Linked DNA regions of Nothobranchius furzeri. The protein of the gene in region 1 interacts with the protein of each later gene in a biochemical or structural test. Links are inferred from orthologs where the notes say so. Each region holds a gene or a part of one and is shown on either strand. Other genes may lie near its edges. The genes, in order: fkbp8 and egln1a.

The links.
Region 2: the proteins of fkbp8 (region 1) and egln1a form a complex in vitro, tested with the Homo sapiens proteins (2 studies listed by BioGRID, with this or other methods). The link is inferred for Nothobranchius furzeri from reciprocal best matches to the Homo sapiens genes FKBP8 and EGLN1.

The regions. Positions count from the first base shown.
Region 1 is NC_091748.1:52,422,101-52,437,780, reverse strand, and holds the start of fkbp8 (peptidyl-prolyl cis-trans isomerase FKBP8), read left to right. Parts: upstream 1-7,680; 5' UTR 7,681-7,812; intron 7,813-8,305; 5' UTR 8,306-8,336; coding exon 8,337-8,562; intron 8,563-8,762; coding exon 8,763-8,932; intron 8,933-9,105; coding exon 9,106-9,194; intron 9,195-9,694; coding exon 9,695-9,915; intron 9,916-10,053; coding exon 10,054-10,226; intron 10,227-10,305; coding exon 10,306-10,383; intron 10,384-14,531; coding exon of another isoform or gene 14,532-14,615; exon of another isoform or gene 14,616-14,776; intron 14,777-15,180; coding exon 15,181-15,315; intron 15,316-15,445; coding exon 15,446-15,532; 3' UTR 15,533-15,680. Other genes in the region: ssbp4 (single-stranded DNA-binding protein 4), read left to right, coding at 1,266-1,336, 1,483-1,561, 1,921-1,949, 2,042-2,143, 3,255-3,335. UniProt on the Homo sapiens protein: Constitutively inactive PPiase, which becomes active when bound to calmodulin and calcium. Seems to act as a chaperone for BCL2, targets it to the mitochondria and modulates its phosphorylation state.
Region 2 is NC_091752.1:2,288,537-2,304,063, forward strand, and holds the start of egln1a (egl nine homolog 1), read right to left. Parts: upstream 10,296-15,527; 5' UTR 9,849-10,295; coding exon 9,144-9,848; intron 1-9,143. Other genes in the region: tsnax (translin-associated protein X), read left to right, coding at 13,716-13,731, 14,733-14,822, 14,908-15,022. UniProt on the Homo sapiens protein: Cellular oxygen sensor that catalyzes, under normoxic conditions, the post-translational formation of 4-hydroxyproline in hypoxia-inducible factor (HIF) alpha proteins.

The DNA.
Region 1 (15,680 bases):
AGAGGGAAGTCTGGGCATCCCGACTCAGGCTTCTGGCCCCGCGACCCGACTCTGGATAAGTGGCTGAAAAGGGATGGATGGATGCTATAAAAAGATTTTAAGCCCCGCACTTCCCTTTTCGAGCTCCACATATCCATTTTTCTCCATATAAGAAAAATTTGTAGAATCTGCAGTCAAGGTCAGGACGAAAACCTGAACTGAAATTGAGTATAAAAGAAGCCGAGGTCCTAAGGAAATCTTTGAAACATCTTCAAAGAGCCTGAATTATTATTTATTGGGATCATTTTTAAAGATTACTGGAATGTCTGGCAACCTTGGGGGAGGGGAACACAAACAAATGATGGCTGGTTTTAAACTTTTGCACAGAACTGCCTCCTGTTGAGGTGTGTAGTAGTCTGATTCTACCCAGCTTCAACCCATTAATAAAGCGTCTCGGTGGAGGACTGAAAACGGAACACTAAAAGGCTGATACCCTGTAAATACCCTGTTCCTGTTGGCCTGTAGAGGGTTTCTTTTTATGTCTGCCCATTTATTATTTATATACGTGCCTCTGTTGTGATACGTTGCGGGGCAACCTTTTCACAGCACTGCTCATACACACACACACACAAATCAGCAGGGAAAACATGTTTCCGCCGTGGTTGCCAGGCGTGTGCGCTCACACCTGATATGCGCACAAACCTCGCTCATATATGCACACCTCTCATGTGCCTCCCTACGCAGTCACAACACCACAAGACACATTCAAGGACACCAGAAGATGAGGTTTCTTCGGTTTTCTAGTCTTTGTTTTATTTTTCCTTATCGGCCACCTGCAGTGCCAGAGCAAGGTCACCTTATCCCTCTGGATTTTTGCAGGACAGACAGACAGGCTCACAAGGTGTGACGCAGCATGTTCTGGGTGTTGCTCCATTGCCACGGTTTCCGTATCTAATTTCCTCATGACAGGAATAAGGAACGATGGGTTTAATTTCATTGTGAGACACAGGGAGCTGACATGTGTGATCCCGTGCTGTTACAGAATATACTCTACTGTTGGAATATTTATTATAATAATAGCATCAAATATGTCGAATGACAGGGCCAAGACTCGGGATCATTTGTTCCTGTTTCCTTAAGTTTGACTTACTTTAGAAGATTTATTTTCTAAATATTTGCATGTTTGCGCTGAAAACTGACAGATTTTATCTGCTGGTACCTTCATGTCTAATTAAAGCTTTACAGTTTTCTCACTTGAAACATTTTCAATCATTTTATTTCTACAGATTCTACAAATTCCAGTGAAAACATTTACACAATGATGAATCCCATCGGTCCCGGTGGAAACAGACCTAGCGTAAGTGAGGTCCTTTTTATTTCAATGATTAATCAAAGTTCATTTTAATATATGCGGTTGATCTTTTTGAGACGTTTGAGCAAAACGGATTTATTCAACTTGGATGCATAAAGAACAAATAGTGATTTGACTCTTTTTGTCTTTAGTTCCCAATGGGACCAGGTCCAGATGGACCCATGGGTGGAATGGGAGCTATGGAGCAGCATCATATGAACGGATCACTAGGTGGGTCGCGGCCTACGTAACAGGTCTGCTGAGTTTATTTCTTGTTTTGGTTTTTGGTCAGAGGTCTTTAAAGGAAGGACTCTGCCCTCTTATGGCTGAGACAGGAAGTGTTGTCTTTCAGCTTTGTATTGATCAGAGCTAAAACAGATTAGTGGGGCGGTAAGAAGGCCAATTGATCCTGTGGGTGTGATGTGATCAGCAAAGCCAGTGAGGTTCTTGCTCATCTGTATCTGAAACAAATAGCTTAATTAGAGGCCATTACTTGTGAGGAGGGGAGTAGATGCTCCTTCTGCAGGAGATCCTGGATGGTGATCAGTTAATGGTGATGGCTTTCTTTCTCATTCCATTTCTGATCACAGGTTCTGGTGACATGGATGGGTTGCCAAAGGTAAGTCAGACGAGTTTTCTGAATATGTCATCCAGATCAGTTTTTTTCTACTTTTTTAATCATTGTACTTTTTTTTTTCATCCGGATTGCAGAATTCTCCCAACAATATGGCGGGCATGAACAATCCTCCCGGCACCCCGCGGGATGACGGAGAGATGGCAGGCAACTTTTTAAACCCATTCCAAAGTGAAAGTGTGAGTACGAGAAAGTTAAAACCCAAGCCGTGCACCGGAGAGCGTCTACTACTCAGTTAGCCATGTGCCATGGGCATGTAGGCACTGCTGAGAGTATTAAATCTGATTTTAAAGCAGAAACATATTTTATTTGACCAGTTTATAGTAAAACAAACCACAATTAGCAGATTGTATTCATTTGATGTTTTTTTCCCCTTTAGCTGAAAGATGATTTGACTGTTACCATGGGAACCCAGTTTGATATGTGTGCAAAATGTTTAAAGAGCAAGTCACCCCCTGCCAGATTCTTACTCAACTCCCACTTCCTGTTTGAAAAATGCAACAAATGCTGTTGCTTAGTAGAACGAGATGGCGGAGCTGCTAACAAATACACACACTCACGACATTGTGACATCATAATGTACTATCTAACATCATAGTGTACCTCTTAGCCAATAGCGACGGAAGATTTAATTTCAAATGCAGTGCAGAGTTTTTGCCTGACGACGGTGCATCGCTGACAGTTTTAGGCAGAATATTTAAATTTTAACTAAGACTAGTGCCGAGTTATTGACTACATTTGTCTGCAGCACAATCAGACACTCATTTATATAGTTTATCAGCAAAAAATGTTGATTTGGAGTGACTTGCTCTTTAATGTTGGATTGGCTCTTTATTTCTGAACATTCCTTTAGCCTGACTCAAAATTACAATTTTCGATCAGAGATATCAGAGTTATAAGATCTGTTTTTTAAAACACAAAAAGTCACAATTTAAACCAGGACAGATGGAAACGTTTGTCTCCAAAAACCTTTAATTTTCCCTAAATTTACTGAACTCATTCACACGCCTGCAGGCTGTTCAGACGCACATATTAATGAACGAAACATCAGCGTCAAATTCTTATTCTTAATGTGAGACCAGCGTGAACTGTAATGTTAATAAACAAGTCTCTCCTCTCTTGTCTCTGTTTTACAGTATTCACCCAACATGACGATGAGTGTGTGATTTTTTTTTATTCACCTTTTTCATTTCCTTTTATCTGAATCCCCCTCCCGACCACCCTGCTGTGTCTTGCATCACCTTCCTCGTCCTCCTTCTCCTTTATCATCGTGGATGGTGTGCCACACAGCTCCTGGGGATTGCCCTGGAGAGCAGGACTTCCCTGAAGACTCAACATCCTGCTGCCTGTAAAATGGGCGTCAGAGCATGAAATGGTCTTGGAACAGCAGGAAGGAGCTCCTCACTACAACTTCTTCTTCTCTCCTGCTAGGATCCGTCAAGGGCCCCAGAGCCTGAACCTGCATCGAGTCTGCATCTCTGACAAAAACCAAACCTGCTCTTGTGGGTGGCATTCGGGCATTATCAGGACTACTCTGTTCATTTAGCACTGTTTTGGGACAGAAAACCCTCATTCAGATGCTCTGGACTGATTACTAAAACATGAACTTGTGATGATCTTTTAGGGCTAGAATGATTTCATGCATTTTTTGAGTTGATATTGTTCTAATTTGCATAGCCGATGCTATTCTTGTGTTTTATCTCTGCAGCAGCAAGCACACATTGGATGAATGATTGATTTTCTGACTGTTTTCTTTAGACTTACAGATTTGTTTCAGACACCTCTGCACAAAAATGCATTGCAACTTTGTCTTTGCCTCCTGGATCTTTCTCCTAGACTTTCACAGGAAAGATTTCTAATGAGGCCTGATCTGAGCATTGCTGTTTTCTGATACAGATTGACTGTTGATGCACATGGATGATCAGCTGTTTGTCTGTCTTGTCTTTTGTAAACCCAAATACAGCTGTCTGTTTCTGTTCTGTCGACACGATGAGCCAACTGTCAGGAGAGGAGCTGCTTCGTATTCAGAAACAGACCACGATGGAGGATTTTCTGCATCTTCTTGTCTCCTCTGTAGTCTTGTTCTTGTCTGTAAAAACAACAAAATTCGATTGTTTTTATTTGTTATTTACAAGGTGTCTGTGAAACCAGAAATGCTCTTCCCATTCTGGTTCATGACGCCCAAGTGATGTCACAGATTCTGTTGATCAACTTTCAAACGAAACCGGCACAGTCTCTGCAAAACGACGTTGTTTTTCTAGGAAAGCCCCTTTAAATAGGGTAATGGACTCATGGGTTTGTGTGATGTGATTCATCTTGAGCTCGTCTAAAGAGAAGGAACCATTTGTAGATTGTTTTCAACATTTATTTTTATTTCTGATGTATTCAGCTGAAGTTAAAGCCCCAATAATCTACTCAAAAACAAAAGTGTGGTGACACAGTCAGTCTGATTCAACGATTCTGCCTCCTTCGATCTATCCACTAACAATAACTAAAGAACCACTGCAACCTCTGTCGGAGACTTCTTATGATTTACTGATACGACTGTGAACAGATAGTGCCCAGATATCAGTTGGGGTATCTCCAAGATTTGGCCATCAGTGGCTTGGAAATCTCTCTCTGTCCAGCGTTCCTTAGAAGCAGTGACACACCGCCCTCCCTCCCTCCCACCCTTTCATTTTCTCTCTCTTGTTTTCTTGTAAATACTGTATAATGCATTTTGATATCATTGACATGTTTTGATATGTCAGTCACTACCAATGAATACAGCTGAAAGTAAATTATAAATAAAACTGTTCATGTTTTCTTTTTTCATAGAGAAAGGATGTGAGAAAGGCTTGTGTGGCTAAATTTATAGAATACTGTAAAGTGACTAAATGTATAAAATGACACACGGACTGTATGCTAAAGGCTCGTGTGTGTCGGGGGGAGGATGGGCCAGAGAGAAGCAAACGCGCTGCTGCGGCGTCCTCGCTCTGCCCTTGACTCGATTCAGTCAAATGTTGCTGTTTGGTTTTGAAAACGTTTTTTTTAAAGAATCATGTGAATAGGTTTTCCAAAGGGCATCTTCTCTCAAAAAAATAGTGCATGTGACCTCAGGTTGCAGTTTTTCATATGAAGGATTTCTATTGATTAACGAAAACTTTTAAAAATGGAAAAAAAAGGAAACATTTTAAATTAAAGAGATCAAAATCTAAAACTTACGAGGAAAAACTATTCACGTGCGTGATAGCATTGTATAGTTTGAAGCTCTCTCACTGATCCTCTCTCAGTCCTCTGTGTATATTGATCGTTGGCCATCTCTGTACTTCTATTGTGATGTATAATACTGTACCATTAGGAAGATTTGCTGGTCGGAGGGGGCGGGGGGTTGTGGTCATTTTGCTTGGGGGGAGGGGGGTTTAAAGGATGGGGATATAAAGGATTCTCCAATCACAGTCCTCTAATGACACGGCAGTATTCAATATGAAGCAGTCTGTCTCTTGGGTTTGCTTTGTATCTCATGGTAGGATAGTCGAGAATCTTGTCTTAGGGATTTAGCTGTCTTGTGTAGGTAATAAAGATGTTCTTTGTATGTTTCTTTTTATTGTAAAGTTCTTTTAGACTGAAAGAAAAACAGACAATTTGCTTATAAAAAAGAAACGATGCATCAATAATAAATGTCATTTGATTTTTTTTTTCCCTCTTGTTTGAATTTCTTTGTTTTCCTCACAGCAAGAAAGGTGGGAATTGATGCCGGAACTGATGACAAGGTACTATTCTGGAAGAAAACATTTGATGAAAACCAAATAATCACAAGTGTAGACATGATTTAAAAAAATGCAAATGTAAGCAAATTGGATATATTTGTACCTTTTTAAATCTGCTATTTATGACAGGTCTATGTGTCATTAAGTTTGCTGTTTGAAAATATCTAAAGTAATGGGTTTTTGGAAAATAATAATAAATATATGTGAATATTTCAAATTGTAATTTTCCACACGATAAACAAAAGGTCAGAGATGTTGCTTTAACACTAAATAATTACAGAATCAGGACTGCACCCAACTAGTAAATATTTAAGTGAAACCATGAAATTTCCTGAATTTTATAAACATACCTAAAAGGTAAGCATTAATATTGCTTATATTTGCAAAAAAAAATGGTTTCACTATATGATGTGTAGCTGATTGTTTTTCTAATTATTACTGTCCAACAATTATTCTACAGAAATGAAGCGTGATTTTGTAGACAGGTGGAAAAAAGCACATGCTCATAAATCAACCTACTACTACTATAGAAAAACATGGTTGTCCTGCTTCAGTAAAAAAGGCACTGAATGTCTTTTAAAAACCTGTGTAATCCTTTAATGCAATTTTGGAGGGTTTCAGAAGAAACTGACCCAGAAGCACAAATACCATAAATAATGTTATGTCAACCTAATAAATCCATGCATAAATTATTTTAAAATATTTTAGAAGTGGCTACAATCTTTCTTTTAAGTTTACTGAAACATGTGGCAGCCTAAAGGTGAAACTAATAGAAGCCAAAGATTCAGTTCACGCTGTCAAATGTTTTCAACTATAGAGAAAGGCAATTGGGATTTTGGCGTTGACGCGGGTTTTGAAATTTCATGTTGCAGAGCATGATTAAAAACGTGTCCATATGCTTTGAGAATATTTTATTAACATAATCAAATTGGACAAAATAATGTTACATTTATTTAACATTTACTGCTGGAAATTAACCCGGGCTAAAATAATGCATATTTACCTACATGAAATATGTAAATGTTCATTAGTATGCAATGTCCCTTTACAAATAACAAAAATTCAGTCATCTATTCTTCTTCTTCTTTTTCTTCTTCTTCTAATTATTATTATTATTATTATTATTATTATTATTATTATTATTATTATTATTATTATTATTATTATTATTATTATTATCTACTTTTACCTTTTTAATTAAGGAAAATTACTAGAAACTCCAAACTGCTGTCGTTTCCATGTTAGTGAGGTAAAATATTAACTTGCACCAAGGGGGAGCTCAAGGTTAACAGGAAGCACAGGGCTGAAGTTCGCTTGCTGCTGAACATATCAACACGCGTACTTTTTTTTTATTTTTTGGGTCCTCCGCCTCACAACGACGTGATGGGAATTCCGGCTCTTTTTAGAGAGCCGGTCTTTTTGGCTCAGCTCACCAAAAAGAGCCGGCTCTTTCGGCTCCCAAGTGGCTCCTCACATTTTCTGTTGCGTAGAGTATATTTATAACCAAAAAAAATGCTAAAATATATGTAACATGATTTACTAATGTAAAAAATTGCAATATATAAACTATTTATCATTTGAATGGATTTAATAACTGAACACTTTAAGAAATCTCCACTTTCTGACTGCTGGCGCTCATTTTCTCACCGTCTTTGCCGCACTCTCTCTCTCTCTCTCTCTCTCTCTCTCTCTCTCTCTCTCTCTCTCTCTCTCTCTCTCTCTCTCTCTCTCTCTCTCTCTCTCTCTCTCTCTCTCTCTCTCTCGCCTTTTTCCTCCTCCTCATTCCCTCTCGTCTCCCTCCACCCGCATGTGCTCTGCTGTGTGTCTGAGTCTGATCCTCCCTCTTCCCCGCCCCTACTGCTCTGTGTGTGGACAGTCTGGACACGCAGTTACACATGTTGACCAATTGCCTGTGGCGTTCACCAAAGCAAAAGGGGAGGGGACGGCTCCCAATGACGAGCCGGCTCCCGTCGTTCACTTCAAAGAGCCGGCTCTTAGAGCCAGTTCGTTCACTACCGACACATCAGTACAACGTTGAACTGACTTCACTTTGAGTTTAACGAAGGGACAGCTCAGGACCGAAACAAGCCCACTTGGAGGTTTGTTGTACTTTATTTCGATTAACGCATATACACTTTGACCCACTCTCACTGCATTGACGTGATAAACCCAATGGTTTATCGTATAATAGAGTAAAAACTCGTTATTATCGTTTAGTACCTGTATTGCTTAACCGGCTAATGCTACTTGCATTAGCAGTAGCATGCTAGCCGCTTGGGCATTTAGCTGGAGGAAAACTTGTTAAAACTTCTTGCTAGATTTGTCAGGGCACAACAGTTAACAGGTAGCGTAATAATTAAATTTGCGAAATGTTGCCACATTGTTTGCTAAAATTAAAAATAATAAATAGACGTTAAAGGAGGTGTTGGGTAAACAGTTGTGTAGCTATCATCATGTGACCTATCACAGTGTTTAACGTCGACTTGCACATAGTTGAAGGCTTTTTTTCCTCACTAGGATTCAGCACATACACAGTTTTACTTTTCACAGAAAGTGAATCACTTCAAGCTGTTTTCTGTTTTCCTTAATCAGGTGATGTGCTGAGGACTGAACACGTTTGAGAATGGAGTCTTCAGCTGGACCTCCTGCTGCTAAGAAGCATGGACAAACCTCGTTGCTGGACAGCGGGGAGGACTTTGAGGTGTTGTGTGATGAAGACATTTATGACGACCTTCCTCCTCTGGAAGATGCCGGGGGTGGAAACAGTAAAAAAACAGAAGATGCAGAAAAGAAAAGGGTTGAAGATCCAGAACCTTCTGGCAACATTGATGAATGGCTAGATGTTTTAGGTATGAGGGAAATGTGACAAAACCAGACACATTCTTACAGACAACATGCTAATAGTTTGCATTTGTATGTTGTTTGTATGTTTTCCAAATATTTAGTGGCATTCACAGCAGAAGCTAGAATTCCATTACTGTATAGTTATGAACATTTAATGGTTCCGTTATATGTAACCAATTTTATAAACAGATCTATCTGCTGTTAGGTAACGACCAGCTGAAGAAAAAGGTCCTTGAAGCAGGGAAGGGACGTGACAGTCGGCCTCACAAAGGACAGGTCGTAAAGATCCATCTTAAAACACACTTGATGGATGGTACACTTGCACAGGAGCTATGTGATCTCGCTTTCACTCTGGGAGATGGTGATGTCATCCAGGTAAAGAAAAAGAAAAACTCAGATGATTGGTTGAATAGGTTTTTAATAATATATATATATATATATATATATATATATATATATATATATATATATATATATATATATGTGTGTGTGTGTGTGTTAAATTTGCATGTAAGTCATTAAAGCAAAAAACACTTTAATCTATTTAGGCACTGGATCTGACAGTGCAGCTTATGGAAATTGGAGAGAAAGCACTCATCCAGACAGATGCAAAATACGCATACGGTGTCCGAGGAAGGTAGGAAACATTTTGAAATGCTCCTGAACAGTCTGCCACGTTAGGGCCATTATATCTAGTGTTATTAGTTCAAAATGTAGACATGACTTTCACGTCACAGTTTTCAAACCAGAGATGTTTTGAGGAAATATTAAAGAATTGGACATTGCAGGAGAGAGATGCTCACAGTTGTCCCCGACAGCTGATTGTTGAATTAATGCTTAATGAGTCTGGGATGTTTGTGGTTTCTTCAAAGATTAGAAGTTTTATTAAGCCAACACTTAAAACAATGGTGTGGTGAGGAAGATCAAGCCTGTGGATAATAACAATATCGGTTCATATTTGCTCTGAAGCTATGCCTTTAAAGCTATATTTACCAGTGTGTCTCCTCCTAACACTGTGCTCAGTAAATGTGCCTGCATTTGGTTGCTGAAAAAGAAGGAAACATGACAGTAATATCTGTGAACTGTCTCCTACGGCTGGTGTCCCTGACTCTGTCTCCTGCGTCCTTCACTTCCTAGTCTTGATCCTGACATTCCGCCAAATGCTGAGCTTTCCTTAGAGGTGGAGCTGTTGGAGGCTACAGATGCACCTGACTTGGAGCTGCTTCCTCCCTCGGAGAAAATAGCCCTGGCTGTTCAGAAGAGGGAGAGGGGGAATGTTCACTACCAACGTGGGGATTATGCTTTTGCAGTCAACTCATATGGCGTTGCCCTGCAGATTACTGATTCTTGTTCCAAAGGTAAGAAGCATGTGCAGGAGTCAGGCAAAGCTTTATATTTCCTTCTAAAAGAAAAGATATTAACAAGATACTAACAGTTGATTTTTCTTATTTTGATACATAAGGACTCTTAACTGTTTATCATGTTTCCTTGAGCAGTTGACATCAGCCCCGAGGAGGAGAACGAGCTGTTGGATGTCAAAGTAAAGTGTCTAAACAACATGGCTGCTTCTCAGCTGAAGCTGGACCACTATGACGCAGCACTGAAGTCTTGTGTTTCAGCACTTGAACATCAACCAGAGAATATTAAAGCACTTTTTCGAATGGGCAAGGTGCTCTTTGCTCTGATTCTTTCATGTTGTGTTTCTCAGACTCCTCTAACCTGTTGCCTGCTGTGTGTTTCTGCTTTAGGTTCTGGCTCTGCAGGCTGAATACACAGAAGCCATTCAAACTTTACGGAAGGCTCTGAAGCTGGAACCAAGCAACAAGGTACATTTGGCCTTTTATAAAACGTCTGGTAAACTACACTCACTGGCCACTTTATTGTGTACACCTTGCTAGTACCAGGTCCCTTTTGCCTTCAGAACTGCCTTAATCCTTCGTGGTATAGATTCAACAAGGTACTGGAAACATTCCTCAGAGGTTTTGGTCCATATTGACCTGACAGCATCACACAGTTGCTGCAGATTTGTCGGCTGCACATCCATGATGCGAATCTCCTGTTCCACATCCCAAAGGTGCTCTATTGGATTAAGATTGGTGACTGGAGGCCATTTAAGTACAGTGAAATCATTGTCATGTTCAAACAATCAGTCTGAGATGATTGGAGCTTTATGACATGGTGCATTATCCTGCTGGAAGATGGGTATACTGTGGTCATAAAGGGATGGACATGGTCAGCAACAGTACTCATGTGGGCTGTGGCATTGCAACGATGATCAGTTAGTACTAAGAGGCCCAAAGTGTGCCAAGAAAATGTCCTCCACACCATTACACCACCTCCACCTGAACCGTTGATACATGGCAGGATGGATCCATGCTTTCATGTTGCTGACGCGAAATTCTGATCCTACTTTCCGATAGGGATGTACCGATGAAACGGCATTTGATCCCAATCGGCCGATAGCGCCCCTATCGGTTTTGATCGGACTTTTCAAAATAGATCAAAGCAGACCGCTCAGGTAGGGTTGTCACGGTAACCAGTGTAAACCCCGGTAGAAAAAGTTGACAATAATAATAACCGTCTTGTTTTAAAAAAAACTATATTATCTCGGTGGGTTACCGTGGCTGCGGTGTAGGCGCGGTGACCCTTACCAGCCACCGTATCATCTGCTGAAGTTGCAGGACCGGCGGCACATGCGCACTTTGTTGTTTACGACCAAAACTTTCTTGAAGCTAAAGCTGAAATAATGGCCTAAGGAGGAGACGGCAGCGCTCAGGAGGACATTTATTATCCCCCAAAGAAGACAAAGTCGGAAGTACGGGCATTTTTGGATATTTGAATGCCGAAGGAGTTTATAGAAGATGGACGGCTATCCTGTTTGCAGTACGTGCAGAAAAATTGTCTGTGAAAGGCAGCAACGCTTCAAATGTCATGACACATCTGCGTGACCATCACCCTCAACGCAAGGCAAGCTAACGTTAGCATTTTAGCTAAAATGCGTGATCCGAGGATTTGGGGTTGAGGGAGAACGCAACGAGTCGCTATATAAAGCAGCCGCAGCGCCGCTACCTGCATATAAACCGTGTCGCGGACACCCCCATGTTGAAACGACGCTATGCATTACGGGGCTCCCAGGGGCAGATAAGAGTTGGTCTCTCTCCGAGAATAATTATGAATTTAACAACGATTACTGCCTGATGACATTTTCCCACATCTGCAAAGCTCACTGGAAGGACACAAACCGAGGACAATAATTTCCTGATATACGGATTACTCAAGTAAGGGTAAAAAAGTATCTGATTAGAAGGCTACTTGAGTACTGCGTATCATCTGATCTAATATTTTTAAAATGATGACATCAAACAGACATAAAATAAGAAGTTATGGGCAAATATTGGTATTTTAAAGACTAAAGGGAAAAAATGTAAACAAATAAACAACATAATTACAAAATAACACATTTTAGGCTAAATTTAGACACAAACTGAAGACAATATTTCCTGACATACAGGGTTTATTGCATTGTGTGAAAATGTAGCACGTTTAAAAAAAATACCGCGATAATACCGAAAACCGTGGTAATTTTGGTCACAATAACCGTGAGGTTAAATTTTCACACTGTGACAACCCTAATACAGACCATTTTAGATTAGGTTGCATTTCCTTTATTCCCAGATTATGTAGTTTGTAGCACTCATTATAATGTTGTAGAAAATTTTTGGCCAATCCACGTGATCGGTATCGGTGATCGGTATCGGTGATCAGCATTCTTTGATATCGGTATCGGTGATCGGCAGCAAAAAACCTGATCGGTGCATCCCTACTTTCCCACTGTTGTGGCAGAAATCGAGACTCATCAAACCAGGCAACAATTTCTCAATCTTCTATTGTCCAGCTTTGGTGAGCCTGAGTGAATTGGAGCCTCGGGTTCCTGTTCTTAGCTGACAGGAGTGGCTCCTGGTGTGGTCTTCAGCTGCTGTAGTCCATCTGCCTCAAGGTTCAATGTGTTGCGCGTTCAGAGATGCTCTTCTGCATACCGTGGTTGTAAGGAGTGGTTGTTTGAGTTACGGTTGCCTTTCTATCAGCTCAAACCAGTCAGGCTTTTCTCCTCTGACCTCTGTCATCAACAAGGTATTTTCGCCCACAGAACTGCAGCTCAATGGATGTTTTCCCTTTTACAGACCATTCTCTGTAAACCCTAGAGATGGTTGTGTGTGACAATCCCAGAAGATCAGCAGTTTCTGAAATACTCAGACCAGCCCGTCTGGCACCAACAACCATGCTGTGTTCAAAGTAACTTAAATCCCCTTTCTTCCACAGTCTGAAGTTGGAACTGCGGCGGATTGTCTTGACCATGTCAACATGCCTTAATGCACTGAGTTGCCACCGTGTGATTGGCTGATTAGTAATTTGCATTAAGGAACAGTTGGACAGGTGTACCCAATAGTGTGATGTGACTAGCGAGTGTACATTGTTTAGTCTTGCTGAACAGATTGTCCCATTCTGACCAGTAGGTGGGGCCATTGGGTAAAGATGAATTCATTTGCAGCAAGTTCTGCTGATTCATCATTTCAGAGGATCTGTTTTCATGCTGCTGCTGTAAATAGGTCTGCCCTGCACCCTAGTCGTATCTAATGCCTAGTCACTGTTTCTGTTCAGATGAGTATATATGGTGCTTTGGCTATACAAGGTCACTCGCTGGAGCATGTTCCACTGTATGGGCTTATTGGATCAGCTGCAGCAGCCTGGTACTTATGCCCAGTACTCCCTACTTCAGTCCTACACCAATCTGTCAAACAGCACACAACCTGTTCACCGCTTTTCAGCCATCGCATGCAGTGTAGTATCATGTGCTACTTTATAAGACCATTTGTAATGATGTCTGATAAATGAAGTGCTTAATTTATTAACCAGTACATTTCTAGTTGTGGTTTTGATCTAAAGATTTGGAAGAGAATAGCTGCAGGAAAAAGTTCTTCAACTTGGAGCAGAAAATAAAATCCAACATCCCCTTTTTTTAGATTACAGATTATCTGGTTTGAGTCGAAGGGGAAGCTGACACTTCTCATCATCCCTTCTCATTGGCTAACTTCCTGTGTTGCTATCAAAGTCTTGAGCCATTTCAAAGACATATTGGCCAATTTATAGTTTGTGTCTTTGTTATAGTAGTGTATTTTGCCTGAGATACCGGCCTTACAGGTTAATGATGAATTACTGACATCTTAAATCAGCGCCACCTTCAAAATTTAATATTGATTAATGAAAATTAGGTTATTTTATATGTCTGCTTTGCATTAAATAATTATGTGAGCAGCACTAATAGGATATATTGTTCAAACTTGTCCCTTGGAGACACCAGAGGTGCTGTCTTAAGGCTGCTGCGGATAATTATGTTTATATAGAGTTACAGAAGTCTACGTAAACAACATGAGAAATGGTGGTGTAAAAGGTTTTTTTAAGTAATGCTGCATGAATTGCTGTGAAATTTGGAAGATTAATTTTATTTGAAGTTATTTGCAGCAGGTAAGATAGTAATTTCTAATAACTTAAGGTATGACACTTTTTATTAATTCCTGTACAAAGTTTGGGGTTGAGTTTAAAGCGCTGCTCTATGGTGCCTTAAAATAAATGTGTGTGTTTTTGTTCCAATAAAGATGCTCTTTTTCTAACCAATTAGCTTGGCTTTGACAGACACAGAAAATGACAAGATGACACATTATATCTCTCTCCTCCAAGCAGGGGCTGATACCTCTGTCTTCAGCTCAAATGAGCCAGAAAAGATTTATTTATCTGGCTTGTTTAACTTTTTTCTTAAACGACATGCAGACTTGACATTTCCAGTTTAAACTGCCTTTGACTTTCTCTGCAGAGTAAGACAAACGAGTTCTGGTAGGATCGTGATGCTAAATGTTTGTTTCTCCTCTCCCCCTATAGGTTGTAATGTTTTTGTCTTTCTGTCTTGTTGCTTCCACAGAAACACTCTTGTAAAGGTAAATGCACCACTTTGGTGCATATTAACATCAGGGCGAAGACTCCACTGCTCACAGATGCATGTTAGTAGATTTTACTCCAAACGTCACTTTAGTTTCAGGTGACTGTTTCTGTTGAACTTTGAGCAACGGTCCTCAGTCCTACCGAAGTGCTCTTAGCAAGTTTAAACATTTTATCTGTTATAATATTGATTTGCTTAGTCACTCACCCGCTTTAAGAGCAGCGAAGTGACTCACAGCTGAGTCTGTGCTGGAACAATAATTGAGCCCAGATCCTGGAATCATTGTGTGGACATGTGGGCTAAACAGCACGCTGATTTTGTGGTCCAAGCCTGTGATTTCTCGGAAGATGGCAAAGAGTGGAATCAAGAATTTTCCGGTATATAAACATTTTAGATTTTCTGATGCAGCTTCTCTGAACCCCAATCATTAATTTATTCATCTAGCAAATGCCATGACTTTGTGTTTTGCAGACCACTTGTGTCTGTTACTGTAAAGAGCGTTCTGACTTGTTATTGGTCTGTCTGTTGCAAAGCTGCACGACGCAGTCTCCTGCAGATCAGGATAACAGCACTGATAGACACAGGGCTTTTATGGTTATTTCCTGCATCCTTTCTCTTGTTTCATGCACAGACAATTCACGCTGAGCTCTCCAAGCTGGTGAAGAAGCACTCAGAGCAGCGGGGAGCAGAACAGGCCATGTATAAGAAGATGCTGGGCAACCCTTCTAGTAGCAGCGTACGGAAACATCAGGCCAAGTCTTCATGGGTGAGAGAGTAATCATCTCAGAAACTCCATGTGTTAAAATGTTTGTTCCAAAGTGAGGCTTTGAAAAACAGCGTATAATTTGTGCCAATGTTATTAACCTGCTCAACATGCTGCTTTTTGTCCTCTGCAGGGTCTCAGCTGGAAGTGGCTTTTTGGTGCCACAGCTGTAGCCCTTGGTGGCGTAGCTCTATCTGTTGTCATAGCTGCCAGGAATTGAAATGAGCCTGATCAAATGCAGCAAAAGAGCCAAAAACACTGAAACACGTCTGACTACACCTTCTGACTGTTGGTCAATGGTGGAAATGTGAGATGGTCGATTACCTCTTCGCTGTCTCCGTCTTTTCTCTACTATGTTTGAGAAGTTA
Region 2 (15,527 bases), on another chromosome or scaffold:
AACGTGGGATTAGCCATCCAGTTACCATTAATGTTGCACTTCCCCATGGCGCAAACTCCCACTAGCGTGCTCATCTAAAAATAGCCCCCTTTCACAACCAACTGAATGTGTACGGTTCCGCTTACGCCAACATCGTACACAAAACTTGCTGAACACCAACTAGAAATTCACGAAAATTTTATAGAAATAAAAGAATCTTGTTTATTGGGTCTTTGGTAATTTAAGACCTTTGGAAACTGTATTTAAGGATTATTTGTCATTTTTAAGGATTTTTAAATTTGAAAAAGCAAATTTAAGACTTTTTAAGACTTTTTAAGGACCCGCGGATACCCTGTGTACACTACACGACCGCTCGGCGCAAAACTCGCTCCGATCTTGTGGATTCTCGCACGAGTGGAAAATCGGCTCAAAAAAGCGAAAAAGTCGCACAGTGTACGCCCGGCTTTAGGAGATGCAGAAACGACTAAAACTGGGCTAAAAACTGTTGAACGCTTTATTAAAAACTGGTCTGATGAGTCCAGATGGACCCTGTTCCAGAGTGATGGTGCATCAGGGTAAGAAGAGAGGCAGATGGACTGACGCACCCATCATGCCTAGTGCCTACTGTACACGCCTGTGGGAGCAGTGTTATGATCTGGGCTTGATGCAGTTGGTCAGGTCTAGGTTCAGCAACAGGATGAGGTCAGCTGACTACCTGAACATACTGAATGGCCAGGTTATTCCATCTTCTCTGATGGCACGGGCATATTCCAACATAACAATGCCAGGATTCATTGGCTCAGATAGTGAAAGAGTGGTTCAGGGAGCATGAGACGTCATGTTCACACATGGATCATCCACCACAGAGTCCAGACCTTAACCCCATTGAGAATCTTTGGGATGTGCTGGAGAAGGCTGTGTGCAGCGGTCAGACTCTACCATCATCAGTGCAAGATCTTGGTAAAACTCCGTAGAAGCTTATCAAAACAACGCCACAGTGAACGCGTGTTGTAATCAAAGCTTAAGGCGGTCCAACAAAATATTAGATTGCGTGCCCCCCCCCCCCCTTTTTTTTTTTGGGTGGAAACATTTTTGGCCAGACAGCCACCATAGTTATTTACTCTGCAGTTTTTGATATATTATTGAAATAACAAAGACACAATTTCAGAGCTTAAATATCTAAAAGAAAAAAAACTAAAAAAAAAAAAAGGGATTAACATGAATTTAAAATGCAATTCAACCTTTTCCTTTATCTTTGAGCGTCACAGTAAACCCACATATTGATTGCTGTTGGGTTTTTTCATAACAATTAAAACAATAAGCAGGAAAAACGTGGAATGCAAGGTGCTGCCCTGGTCATGCTGGTCCTGTAGGCGGAAGGAAGAAACCGCTCACACGATCTATAAGCATAATGTTCAGGCACTTGAAGGACAGCCTCCACAGGACTTCCTCTCTGCTACAGACTCTGTGCTGCTTTAAGATTTAGGCCAACGGTCAACTTCCTCAGAAAAAAAAATCTCACGTGTGCACAGATCTGTAACGTTCCACACGACAGGACAACACACTAGTGACATTACGAAATATGATATCAACTACACCACTGGGGTTTCAACAAATGGTTTTGATTATTTAAATTGAGTCTGTTCTATCCAGCCTTAAATGGTACAACAACAACTTTTAACTAAACTATATTTAAAACGAAATTAAATCTAGCATGCATCAAACCATTTTGCGAATTCAGAATGTACGTCCTGCACTCTTCTCCTGATGCCGATCCTACCTGACCGCAGCAGTGCCCACATTTAAAGCTTTAATCTCCGAGCTGTGACAGCTGCTGCTTAACTGCAAATGAAATGTACACGAAGTTCCATAATGCTTCAAATAGCTTGCAAATGTTCTCAATTCCCACACACACGTGTCAGGGCTTGCTCTTGATGTTACAAGAGGGAATGGATTAACTCTTTCAATAAATCTGCTGTGGTCTCTAGTACGAACGAACGAGTCGTTTCCTGTGGAAAAAAGCTCCGGCGCTCCTATTTCAGGGGGTAAAAATTTTGTTGGAGAAGTGGGGGCAGAAAACAGCAGAATTCAGAGTCTTGCTCATTAATATTGATTGAATGCAAATGCCTTGCCTCTGATTGGCTAACAGCAGCACGACTCTTACGCTGCATTTCTTTGATTTTTCTTGGGTAAAAAACACAAGATTGATGTTTTATCTCCACAAATAACATAGGCGAGAATGTGCTCTTGATAACGGTTAGCTTCTAGCGGAGACATGCTCTGCCGCAAAATCAACAGCCTTCTGTGGTCGCAGGCCAAGGTGGGCGAGTGCATGAATGCAGATTTCATAATGTGAAGTAGAAAAGTGACCTTTTCTGACCAGTGCGTTTCCTCGTCATTCAGTGGCTAATGCACGCAATGGGGTTGGAGAACATTTTCATGTTCAGCATGCATGTGAAAGTAAACATGACTAAATCGGGTTTTAAATGAGCAAGTATCATGTGTTTCTTAGCAGGGGAATGCCTTGAAAGGCAGCTCTTGTGGTCTGCCTGTATCTGTTTTGATCTGTACGTTTTGTATTTGTAACCTTGGTCAGGCTGTGCTGCGGAGACAAGTTTCTATGGTTCAGGACGCTGGGGCACTGACAGTTAAGTTGATTCTAAAATATGGGGCCAATAGCTACCATTTATTTACATATTGGGATCAGCCAGTATGCTTCCCTAGTAAGAATATTTAAAGAGCAAGTCACCCCCAAATCACTTTTTTTTTTGCTGATAAACTATATAAAGGAGTGTCTAATCATGCTACAGACACGTGCAGTAGGGTTGTCACGATACTAAAATTTCAAACTCAATTCGATACTTGAAAAAAACCTCGATACTCGATTTCGATACTATTTAAAAACACCCATTAATCGAACAAGTTTATTCAAAAAATAACATTCCTCAATTTATATTGCAAAAATTAAATGTTAAGAATTAAGTGTATTAAGTGCTTAAACCTTTCAAGTATCAGCATTTTTTAAAACGTGCATACAAAAACTGGTGAAAGTTAACACTTTAAATCATGAATTGTCTCACTATATATACACTATTTGCAGAGTGATGTTTTGCTGCTTAAACTCTGCTTAAGGTGCATTTTTGTCATAAGATGTAATGCCATATGTTTTGTTCTGTACTTTTGAACAACTCTGTTGGTCAATAAAGGGAGAAAACTAATTTCTCCACAGTAGGACAAAGGTACATCTACCGGTAATCTTTATAAAAACAGACTGGCGCACGGCAGTGACCTCATTAAAAGCGCCGGTTAGATTAGCCGCGGCTAGTCTGTTCACACCTAGAAATCCCAGACCAGACCCGCTCCAAACGAACAGGGGAATCACGTTAATGATTCCTAACAAAACCTTTCGACATGAAGATGTTTTGGTGCAGATAATCTTATTTCGAGGCTGCACCATGGGCGCCCGTCCTCACCCGTTATATGGATATATACACTGATGGCGATTCGCCGATGGATCTAAATACCCCGGGGAATCCAAGTAGCACCAAAGTTGTCAGCGTGAGTAAACAAACGTACTGCATGCTAGAAATTAAGTCCGGATTCCAATAAACGGGAGTTTCCTTTAAGCACATAAGCGTGAATATACAACTACGTGTCGGACTTGGTATGCTAATTAAGTTGGGCTGTGACGCGCCTCCCAAATTCGCTGTTTATGTTTTTGTTTATTTATTAGGCAGATAAAACTTGGATTGGAGACAACTCGCGTGGGAAATTGCTATGTAGCCATGTGGCGTCTTCTTCTGTTTGTCTGGGAGGCGGAGGCTGCTTTACGGCATCTGGCCGTCGTGCGTGTCGTGTACTTGAAGAAGGCTGTGTATAATAGTCCATAATATCGATACCACAGGGATGGAATATCTAATTTAGATACCACTTTTAGTATCGATTTATATCTGGGTATCGATTTTTTTGACAACACTAACGTGTCGTCAATAATTTGGCAGTTCAGTGCATCTTGGTTAAAATTCAAATATTCTGCCTAAAACTGACAGTGTTGCGTCGTCGTTAGGGAAAAATTCTGCACTGTATTTGAATTTAAATCTGCCACCGCTATTGGCTAAGAGGTACGCTATGATGTCATCTGGTATATTATGATGTCATAATGCCATTGTGAGCCTGTGTGTGTGTGTGTATTTGTTAGCGGCTCCGCCCTCTCTGTCTGCCAAGCAACAGCATTTGTTGCATTTTTCAAACATGAAGTGGGAGTGAAGTACGTCTATTGTAGGGGGTGACTTGCTCTTTAAAGTTAGGAAAAGCCACGGACAACCCAGTGCTGCTGCAGGATTACATTTTCAGTTGGATGCCTGATTTTAGGGGAGTTTCAGCATTTTCAAAGAAATGAATGCACAACATGTCCCGTGAAAATAGTTGGGGTCGTAGACAAAACATGGAAGCTTCTCAAATCACTCCAGTGATTTTTTTTTGGGGGGGGGTTGTTCCCTGCATGTATCAATATAAACGGCTAATCTTTCGCTCCGGAAAATTACCGTTGCTGAACCAGGTCCTGAGGAACCTGACATCATAAAATCAGCAGTCTGGTTCAGTAAGTAGTGCAGTGCTTTTCCAATAGAACTTTATCTATTAGTGTTAACTAATTTAAGTGATGACTTCCTTTTAGACCACAAAATGCATCATATCACATGTCAAACCTACAAAACAACACACCTGCACTATACGAACACTGCCTCTTTAGTGTTAGAGCACTTATGCCACCTAGCTCCAGTATGCTAGCGCACGTAAACATTATTATTATTTCTAAAGTCCATGTCTCTGGAGAGATTAGAATGAACAGAGAAAGCATTCAGCTACTGGATCTGCAGAGTAACGAACACGCCTTGCTGCCTGCTGCTTTCCAGAAAGCTCTGAAGTGAGAGGGGGAAACAGAAACAACGGCTTTAAATAACTCTCCGGACAAATGTTTTCCTCCGTCTCTTCCAATATGAAATGTGCCGACATTGTGTTGCTTCTCTTTGGGTCATTGATATTCACGGCCCTCCAGCTTTGTGCAAGTCATGCTGGTCACAGTCCAGCTGTGTGCTTGCCAAGGCAACTGAGGCAGGCATGGCATGCGAGGAAGCTCTGGGTGTTTGACACAGGGGACAGCTGCACGGATCAACAACAAGAACTGAGATGATTCTGAGGAACGTTTCTCGTCCGGCCGTCAGACAGGGAAAAAAACCTGGATAGGAGAGGAGGGATTCATGGTTCCACACATGATAAAAAGCTGTGTTTCATAAGTGCAAATACAAAACAATAGTTTCCATTAAATCAAATTTTTGTTAAATAACCAATTCATTGTCCACGTAAAGGTTTAACCTTGAAAAAGAACCCAAGTTTAAATGTCAGTACATCGCGCACAAAATATTAGATAAAATAATGCCACCAAAATTACACTACCTAAAGGATTATTAGGAACACCATACTAATACGGTGTTTGACCCCCTTTCGCCTTCAGAACTGCATTAATTCTACGTGGCGTTGATTCAACAAGGTGCTGAAAGCGTTCTTTAGAAATGTCGGCCCACATTGACAGGATGGCATCTTGCAGCTGATGGAGATGTGTGGGATGTACACCCAGGGCACGAAGCTCCCGGACCACCACATCCCAAAGATGCTCCATCGGGTTGAGATCTGGTGACAGTGGGGGTTGTTGTAGTACAGAGAACTCATCGTCATGTTCAAGAAACCAGTTTGAAATGATTGGAGCTTTATGACATGGTGCATTATCCTGCTGGAAGTAGCCATCAGAGGATGGGTACATGGTGGTCATGAAGGGATGGACATGGTCAGAAACAATGACCCGTGGCATTGAAACGACGCCCAGTTGGCACTAAGGGGCCTAAAGTGTACCAAGAAAACATCCCCCACACCATGACACCACCACCACCAGCCTGCACAGTGGTAACAAGGCATGATGGATCCATTTTCTCATTCTGTTTACACCAAATTCTGGCTCTGTCTCAACAGAAATAGAGACTCATCAGACCAGGCAACATTTTTCCAGTCTTCAACTGTTGAATTTTGGTGAGCTGGTGCCAATCGTAGCCTCTTGTTCCTGTTTGTAGTGGAGACGAGTGGTACCCGGTGGGGTCTTCTGCTGTTGTAGCCCCTCCGCCTAAAGGTTGTGCGAGTTGTGGCTTCACAAATGCTTTGGTGCATTCCTCGGTTGTAACGAGTGGTTATTTCAGTCAAAGTTGCTCTTCTATCAGCTTGAATCAGTCGGCCCATTCTCCTCTGACCTCTAGCATCAACAAGGCATTTTAGCCCACAGGACTGCCGCATACTGGATGTTTTTCCCTTTTCACACCATTCTTTGTAAACCCTAGAAATGGTTGTGGGTGAAAATCCCAGTAACTGAACAGACAGGCCCGTCTGGCACCAACAACTGTGCTACGCTCAGAATAGCTTAAATCACCTTTCTTTCCTGTTCTGACATTCAGTTTGGAGTTCAGGAGATCGTCTTGCCCAGGACCACACCCCTAAATGCATTGAAGCAACTGCCTTGTGATTGGTTGATTACATAATTGCATTAAGGAGAAGTCGAACAGGTGTTCCTAATAATCCTTTAGGTGAGTGTATTTAAGTAACATCAAAAAACTCACTTGGATCTTAAGGAAGCCATTTGTGATGAGCTGTAATTAGAAGCTTTTATAAATTCTAGACCAGGTGTACTCTACTCTGTTCCTGGAGGGCCAGTATCCAGCACATTTTAGTGGTTTCTCTGCTCCTACACACTTGATTGAGTGATGCAGCTAGCTCATTAGACAATGCAGAAGTCTGTTGTTTACCTGCTGACTAAAATCAGGTGTGATGAAACAGGGTTCAAACTAGACATGCTGGACACCGGCCCTCCAGGCCCAGAGTTGAATACCCCTGTTCTAGACGGTCTTTGTAAATCATTTGACCACAAGAACAAATATAACTATTTTTTATCCTTACAGACTAAATAGCGTCAGTCATACACTGAGTGATTAGTCTGGGGGGGGGGGGGGGGGGGGATTAGGGTTTAGTCTATAATATGATATATGTGACTGAATTATTCTCACACTAAAATCTCCATGATTTAGATTTTAGAAATTAAAAAAGCCTATTTGTGTTATTGGACTGCACAATATGCAACAAAATCCACTCACTATATAAATAAAAAAATATGGTATTTGGGGCTTTTTGTGTGATAGCCGCCTGGAGGGGAGAAGGAAAAGGAAAAGGGCTGGAAGCAGCTCAATTCCTCCTGGGTTAGTCCATCACAACAAGGGTCAAAATGACCACATCTGGTTAAAAAAAGAGCTGCAGGTCACACGCAAGCCAGCAGCAAGGATGGAGCCAGGCTGACATGTAGCTTTTTTAAGTTTGGGCTAAAATGACTTGCTTTTTTTTTATTTTTTTTATACAGGGCTGGTGGTTTCTAATCGCTTTCATAATGTATGCTTACTCCAAAAACTACAAGTTCTCCTCGGTGACGCGTGTGTTGTTAGTGAACTGAAGTATTCAGCCAGCCACCTGGCCAGTGCTGCGTCACTCTGGGTCCCTGTTAATGATCCACATGTCTATCCGACTTCAGGGGGCTGTTTTCCAAATGGATCAACGTTCAGCATAGTCACTTGTGCTACTGTCCTAGAGACATAAAAATCTACTACATTTGCATGAATGGATCAGCGAATATTTGAAACTGATGATCTGGTGGAATTTTCTAGGCTACTTCTTCTTGTCTACTGAAAACATGCCCATCATGCTGTGATATGCAAATATTTTACTAAACAGCTCTTTTAACAGTCACAGTGGTTGTGCAAAAATAAAATTGTAGCCATTTGCATTGATCGTAAATGCTGCTTAAATAAGTTTCTTTGTGACGGACACAAGAAAAAGAAGTGAATTAAAACAAATACACAGTTATGTACATCATGGCCGATGACAGGGATGCTCGATTATATAAAAAAAAAATCACGGCTGTTTTGGTCAATATTGAGATCACAATTATGTACTTAATGAGTTGAACAAAACCAAGAACATTCTAACTCAGCACAGAAGGGGATTCGAACCTACAACCTCCTTACTGTGCCATAAACCGCTCCACCATAGTAAAATCGTGAAATAAAAATCATTATTGGCCTAACAGCAAGACAGACTGCCATAGATGTCATACCCATTTAGAAATATTTCAGTAACATCCTGATTTTTGCAGAAAGCAACAGGATGACTGTAAAAACCCGGCCTTCTGAGGAAAGAGACCAAAGAAAGCTATATTTGTGAGACATTAACTACATATTCATGCAGACATAGTTTAATTACCTTCTTGGGACAACTTTTTAAAACTTGACAAGATGCATGAGTTTAGGCTTTGTAAGGGACGGAAGAGACAAAAATAATCATTGATTTCCTTCATTACATTGTTTTTGTGACTGTTGGAATGAAAACACCGATCTGACAAATTGCACAGCCATAATTTAAGTTGTAATTGTAATTATGTTTAATGCAATAAGAAAATTTGGCTTTCTTTTGAATGATCCATGATATAAAAATGTGCTGTGTGCATGCAAACCTTGCATGCTGCTTTAATCCAATCAGGAGTTCATTAATTGCGTCTTACTTGTCCCTCGGTGGGAAAACTTAACATTCAGTACAGTTGAGTTCTTTTTTTAATAGCGCCTTTCATGCAAAGCTGTTGCCATTTGGATTAGTTTTACTCTGATATTTAAGAACGTGCACACTTTGATCTGACTTTATGCTAGCAAGCTTACTTGCCTCGTACATCTTGTTTTATTCTGCCAAAACACTTTTTAGATTGAGTCATTTTAAAAAGTTTAATTTAGATTGCTTAAAGCTGCACAGTGGGGAATCACAGTGGTCATGGTTGGCCTTCAGCAGCTTATTTCTGTTGGTGGGAGGCATTTCTGTGTTTTGCATCCATGTGCTGGGTGGAATAATCCACCTGACTCGGGGCATTAGCCATGCTTTCCCCTGGAGGCAGCTTACCTCCACTCATATGCATTTGCTGACTTAAAGTAGGTTTTATGTAGTGACTGATGTATTACTGAACAATAGGAGTTTCTCTGAGGGACAACACTTCTGATTGACAGTCTTCTACCTGGACATGCTGCAATACTTACCTTTGTCCTTCCATTTATAGTGTAGTTCCCCAGTTTGCCATTACAATGTCTGATTAGGTCGTCCATGCGACCCATGAGGAACTTGATCTTCTCGCAGCCGTCCTCTCCCCCCTCTATCCACGTGATTTTGTCCCCCCTGATGTCTTTAGGAGAGTCGCTCTTTTGACTGACCAGCTGTCCATCTGTGAATTTACCCTTTTTGTACAAGGCCTTGACATTCTCCAGAACGCTCAGCCCGGTCTTTTCTCCTAAAAAGTCGTTCACGACGCAGATGCCGTGCTTGTTCATGCACGGTACTATGATCTCCACGGCGAGTCTCTGAGGGGACAGGCTGGTTTGTCCGTTAGGTGTGGCGGGGCCGTTAGATCCCACCTCTCCCGCTCGATACCCGGCTGCAGGTGCTTCTGTGTCTGGGGCTGGTGGTGAAGACGGGGAGTTCGACTGATCGGGGACATTCTCCGTGCTGGTTTTATCCGGTCCCCCGTCCTCTCCCGACGGAGGAGTGTGTCCGGGTATCTGTTTGGAAATCAGGGACTTGTCCGCCACCTTACAAATGAGCTTGTGCTTCTTCCAGTCCTGTTTCTGGTGCTCCTTGCTACAGTAGAAGGAGCTTCGGCACCTTCCACACTTAAGGAGGTTCTCCATCTCCCCACAAAGTTCACAATACTGTCGGTCTCGGTCCAAATCGCTCTGCTGCTTTTCCATTACGAGAGCTGCAGCGGTTGTACTGCTCCTTTAATTTCGATCCTTCACACGCGCCCTGCTAACCGTCTACTTACTTTGGGGAAAGAGCCACTGCCTCTGTCTCGCTACGCCGAGCGAAACGGTCGAACTAAACTCAAACGCTCGCCATTTTGTCGGTCTTGTCCCGGTTCCGCATGTTCGAACGGTGAAGTAACGCCACAGTGTGCGCCCGTGGACAAGCATTCAGCCGCGGGTCGGCTCGAGGGCTTCGGGAGGCATTTCGACAGGCTAGCTGTCGGGATCGGTCTACTGCATGGCGCCGCTCTGTGTGCGTGCTGTTTGTCCGTGGCTCTCGTTGACGTCAGAGCTCAAACCCCGCCCCCGCGTTGCCTTCAGGAGTTGTGGGTCAAATGAAATACACACCAGGGCCGGGACACGTGGAGGGTATTTGACACATTTTGGTTCACTGCTGAAGTGAACTATTAAAATATATAAGTATCATTCCTTTTCGGACAGCATTCGTCTCTTTGCTATGACGTAACCGGCCTCGATGTGTACTCACAAGCTTCCTACCCTTGGATTCGGAAACATTACTTGAAATATAACAATTTATTCCTCATGAAGAAGGGTGGATTTCTGAAACACTGGAGAACCCCAGACATCGTATCTCCATGTATACACAGATGACCAACAGACTGAACATGAAACGCTTCAAAGTACAGAGAAAGCACGTTTGGAAGAAGAAGAAGAAAGTATCATTTCTATAGCGCCTCTCAAGATAAAAATCACGAGGCGCTTCACAAAAACAAAAAATAAAAAAATGTAAAAATATAAAAAAGCATTTAGAAAATGTTTAAAAATATATTTAAAATGAGCAAAAATAAGCCCATTCCTGCTACTCTGTTTAAAAAAAACAGATCTTATAATTATGAGATGCTATTGTGAGATACTATCTCATAATTTCTATTTCTGTGGCCGTTTCCAGGTTTCAGCCCTCCTCCACCTCCTTTGCCCATGGTGTCCCACAAGGCTCACATCCACATCCTGAGCTCTTTTAAAGGAATCTGCTGCCATCTTTTCGCAGATGACATTCAACTGTACATCTCCATATGGAAGCAGCAGCTGCTGCATGCTTTGTTAGTTAGACTTTGTTAGACTCAATGAAAAAATGTATGACTGGGAACTTTCTAGAGGTGAATGAAGACAAGACCGAGATCATACCTCTGTGCCCAGATAAACTTCTTCAGTGATGCTCTTGGTGAGCTTGCTTCTCACACCAAACCTGGTCAGGAATCTTGGTGTGACCTTTGACCCAGCTCTCACCGTGGTTTCTCATGTCAGTTCTCTTGTTCGCTCTTCCTTCTTCCATCTCAGAAACATTGCTAAGCCCATTCTGTCCTGATCTGATCTTGAGACTGTTCTCCTCACGCTTAATAATAATAATAATAATAATAATAATAATGCATTGAACTTATATAGCGCTTTTCTAGACACCCAAAGACGCTTTCACACACTGCTAGTGATGGTAAGCTACTTGTAGCCACAGCCGCCCTGGGGAGGCCTGACATTTGGCGCCGTCGGCCCCTCTGACCACCACTAACACAGGCAAGTTGGGTGAAGTGTCTTGCCCAAGGACACAACAGCAGGATACCCCTGGCGAGAGCTGGAATCGAGCCCATGACCCTCCGATCATGAGGCAACCCGCTCTACCACCTGAGCTACTGCTGCCCCAGCTTAGACTACTGTAACTCTCTTTTCACGTGTCTGAGCAGAACCTCCCTGAACCGTCTACAGGTGGTTCAGAACGCCTGTGCTCGGCTTCTGACCAAGTCCTCCAAACACACCCACATCACCCCGTTTCTCCTCCAGCTTCACTGGCTGCCAGTCAACTTCAGGGTTCATTTCAAGATCCTGGTTCTGGTCTATAGGGCCTTACATGGACAAGCACCATCTTACATTGGTGATCTTCTTAGTCCCTACACCCCCAGCAGGTCCCTGAGGTCCAGTGATCAAAGCCTACTGGTTGTGCAGCACCAGGCTAAAGGTCAACAGTGACAGATCATCTGCTGCTGTGGCCCCCAGACTCTGGACCTCTCTTCCCCTGAGCCTGAGATCAGTGGACTCAGTGGTCTCCTTTAAAGAGCAGCTGAAGACTCACTTGTTCAGGGTGGCTTTGGTGTGACCTCCTGCTCATCCTATTTTTCCTCATTAGCTCCTTTTCATGCAGTAGTGTTTGTCAAATCTGTATTTTTCAGGATTCAGTGATTACCTTTTTCTTTTTCATTTACATATTTCAGTCTTAATATTTCCTTTTCTTGATTTTTATCGTGAGAGGTGCTATATACAAGGTTGTTTCTTCTTGTTCTTCTTCTGCTTCTTCTGATAACAGCTTTAACCTGCAGTATCTGATTAGTGACAGGTTGCAGCCCTAATTGCACCCAACACCTACAGGCACTCTTTATTTCACGCTTGTTCAACTTCTTTTGCGTAACAAATAACTTGCCTTAAGAGGATGCTGTTCATTTAAAAGTCAGGGGTAGATTATATGGCTTCTGTGTCGTTGGACAACAACCTTTAGCTGTTGCTGGGGAGTTTTGCAGCCAGGAATAAAGCAGCTGAGGATCGGCACATCGAAATCTGGTGTTTCAGCTTGTCTTTCTGGAAGGTGACCCAGAAAAGACTGTGGAAAGGACATTATAGGTCTCCCTGCTAGGGCTGCTGTTTCTGCAACATATCCTGAAAAAAATGAGGAAAACAAGTCAGGATTAGACATTAGTTTAAGATTAAATTTATTTTCAGCAAAATATTTTTTTAACTCAGAATGCATGTTGTGCACCTGAATGGACATCTGACAAGCTTTGACTCATAATTTACAATGAATGAGTAAAACATGCTTAACAAATATAAGATTAATGTTGAAAAAGGTTTTAAAAAATATATATGTGTGTGTGTGCGTGTGTGCGTGCGTGCGTGTGTGTGTGTGTGTGTGTGCGTGCGTGCGTGTGTGCGTGTTTAAAATAGTTGCAAAACCACACATTCAAATACATTTATATGTATTTTGAGAGCAGCAGCAGCTCATCAGGTTGAGCGGGTTGTCCAGTAATCGGAAGGTTGCAGCTTCGATCCCGGCTCTGATCCCACCTTGCCTGCTGGTGGTGGTCGGAGGGACCGGTGGCGCCTGTGCTCGGCAGCCTCGCCTCCGTTAGTGCGCCCCAGGGCAGCTGTGGCTACATCGTAGCTCATCACCATCAGTGTGTGAATGTGTGTGTGAATGGATGAATGATACACTGCAGTGTAAAGCGCTTTGGAGTCATCACTCTGAGAGGCGCTGTACAAGTGGGGTCATTTATCATTTTAGTAATTTGACAACTCAATTGTCACAGTTCCTACATTTCCCATGATGCACTTCGCTGTGTTTCCGCTACGTCTTAACAGAAATAACTTTTCCCGCCGTTCGAAAAAAGGCACTTTTTGTAATTAAATTGTGTCTTTAAAATATGTGAAATTCATGGCACATATCAAACGGGATAAAAAAATCTTTAATCCTCTCATACATTTTTTTGAGTTGGGGGGATCCGTGGCCCGGAAGTAGATGGGCGTGACTTAGGTTTTCCTGTGTTACTACGGTTCACATGTATGCTTGTTGACAAAAATAAGAAATTTATTCTAGCGTGACATGATTCACAGACTTTAATTAATGATTTTGTTTGTTTCGCAACGTACGTTTTCTCTGAAAGAGTCGATAGTCATTGTCTTATAACCTCGATAACGCCAGAAACGTGGAATAAAGTGCGCGGAGACGAAGGCTAATATTTAACGTTCGTCTAGCTAGCTAGCTAGCCTAGCTTTAACTGAATTCACTAAAATATAACCTGCAACATTGAAGGCATGAATAAAAGGGAAGGTAAGCCTCGTATGTGAAACTAGAAATTATTACCTTTATTTTAGCTAGGTTTTGTGGGCTGCCACAGTCAGCAGCTTAAGATTATTAATTTCTTGTGGAAGTTATAAAATACATTTCCAGTTAGCTACTAGAGTAGCCTCGTCCTTCAGAACAACATGGCGACTGTTTTCTGATGATTAAAAATGTAATTGATTGGGAGTAAACATACTTGTAGTTTAGTTTGTGCAAAGAACAGGTTTATAGTTTTTTACTGTGTGTGTGTGTGTGTGTGTGTGTTCTAGAAATAGTAATTTTTCAGGTAATTTTATGCTTTTTTTTACAGTACTGCAAATATATCGTTTAGCATATCAGTGAAAGCAGTCTCAGTTACAACATCCTTTTATCAAAAAATTTATAAGCACTAAAATTAGATTTAGTTAACATTCTCAATAAATAAACCAGAAACGCAGTAGGAAGAATAAAAAGATTTTAGAGACAAAGCCAACTTTAAGCTCTAACCATGAGTACACAGAGACCATTGCAGTCTTTTGTGACCACACTGAAACTACTGATATTAGAGCAAAACACGACTCATAGCAGTGTTGCTTTGTTTATGTGGCAGAGACACCACATACTTAAACGCATATATTTAAATGAAAAGAACGAGTAAGAATATGTCATGGTGCAAACATTTTATGCAAGAAAATGACAACTTCACTATTGTGATGTATTTTTTCCTCCTTTATCATTATTACTGTAAAACCTGTTATTTAACCGTTCATTTATATTTGTAATTTGCTCATTAGATTTTATTTTTCCCTTCTGAATAAATAAATAAATAATAAATTAATTAATCAGTTATCAGAGATAGAATGAATTAATTAAATAAGCAAATAACTGTCAGTAAAAATTGGTCCAGAAATTCCTGCAAAATTGCTGCAGTTTCTCTTAGAGCCCACTTTAAATAAACTACAGAAAAAGAAGTGTTGTTGAATTCATACTGAATTATCACCTTTTAATAGTTCCAGGTGAAGTATGTTTAAGGAAAAAAGTTGATGCTGCACAGGAGATGAGCATCAACTCGACCTCGCCGGTCATCACAGCCTTCAGAGGTAACTAGCTGCACCCTAAAAGCTGACTTTGTGATTAATATATTCACTGCAAAAACAAACAACAACTCTATCCCTGTTTTTAAAGTTTTCCAGCAGGAGCTTGATGCAAAGCATGACAAATATGAGCGTCTCGTTAAGATCAGTCGAGATGTCACTATTGAAAGCAAGAGGACCATTTTTCTTTTGCACAGAGTGACCAAGTAAGTGACTTTCCAACTTCGATTTTATGCAGCCTTAGGTTAATTTATTGAAACAAAGGGAATACTTTTGGTCTTAAGTTTCTGGTAATAATTATCAACAGATAACCCAAGTTCATGCCTGTAAACATCTGCCCTTTATGACAAGAAATGTACCTAATAAGAAGGGTTGGGCATCGAGAATCGAGCATCGATTGGAACCGGTTCCAACTGTTCATTTTTCCTGGAATCGTTCAAAGTTTTTTATTTCGATTCCTAGGCCCTGTCCACACGTAGCCGGGGATCTGCCAAACCGTAGATATTTTTCTACGTTTTGGCCTGTCATCCACACGAAAACGGAGTTTTTTCACACGAAAACGGATCTTTTTAAAAACTCCGGCCAAAGTGAAGATCTGCGTTTTCTCCGTTTTGGGTGTCTGCGTGTGGACAGACAAAACCGGAGTTTTAAGGTCCGCAACGTCACTTTCCGCGACAAAAAATGCTGACATCACGTGTGCGACCTGTGTTT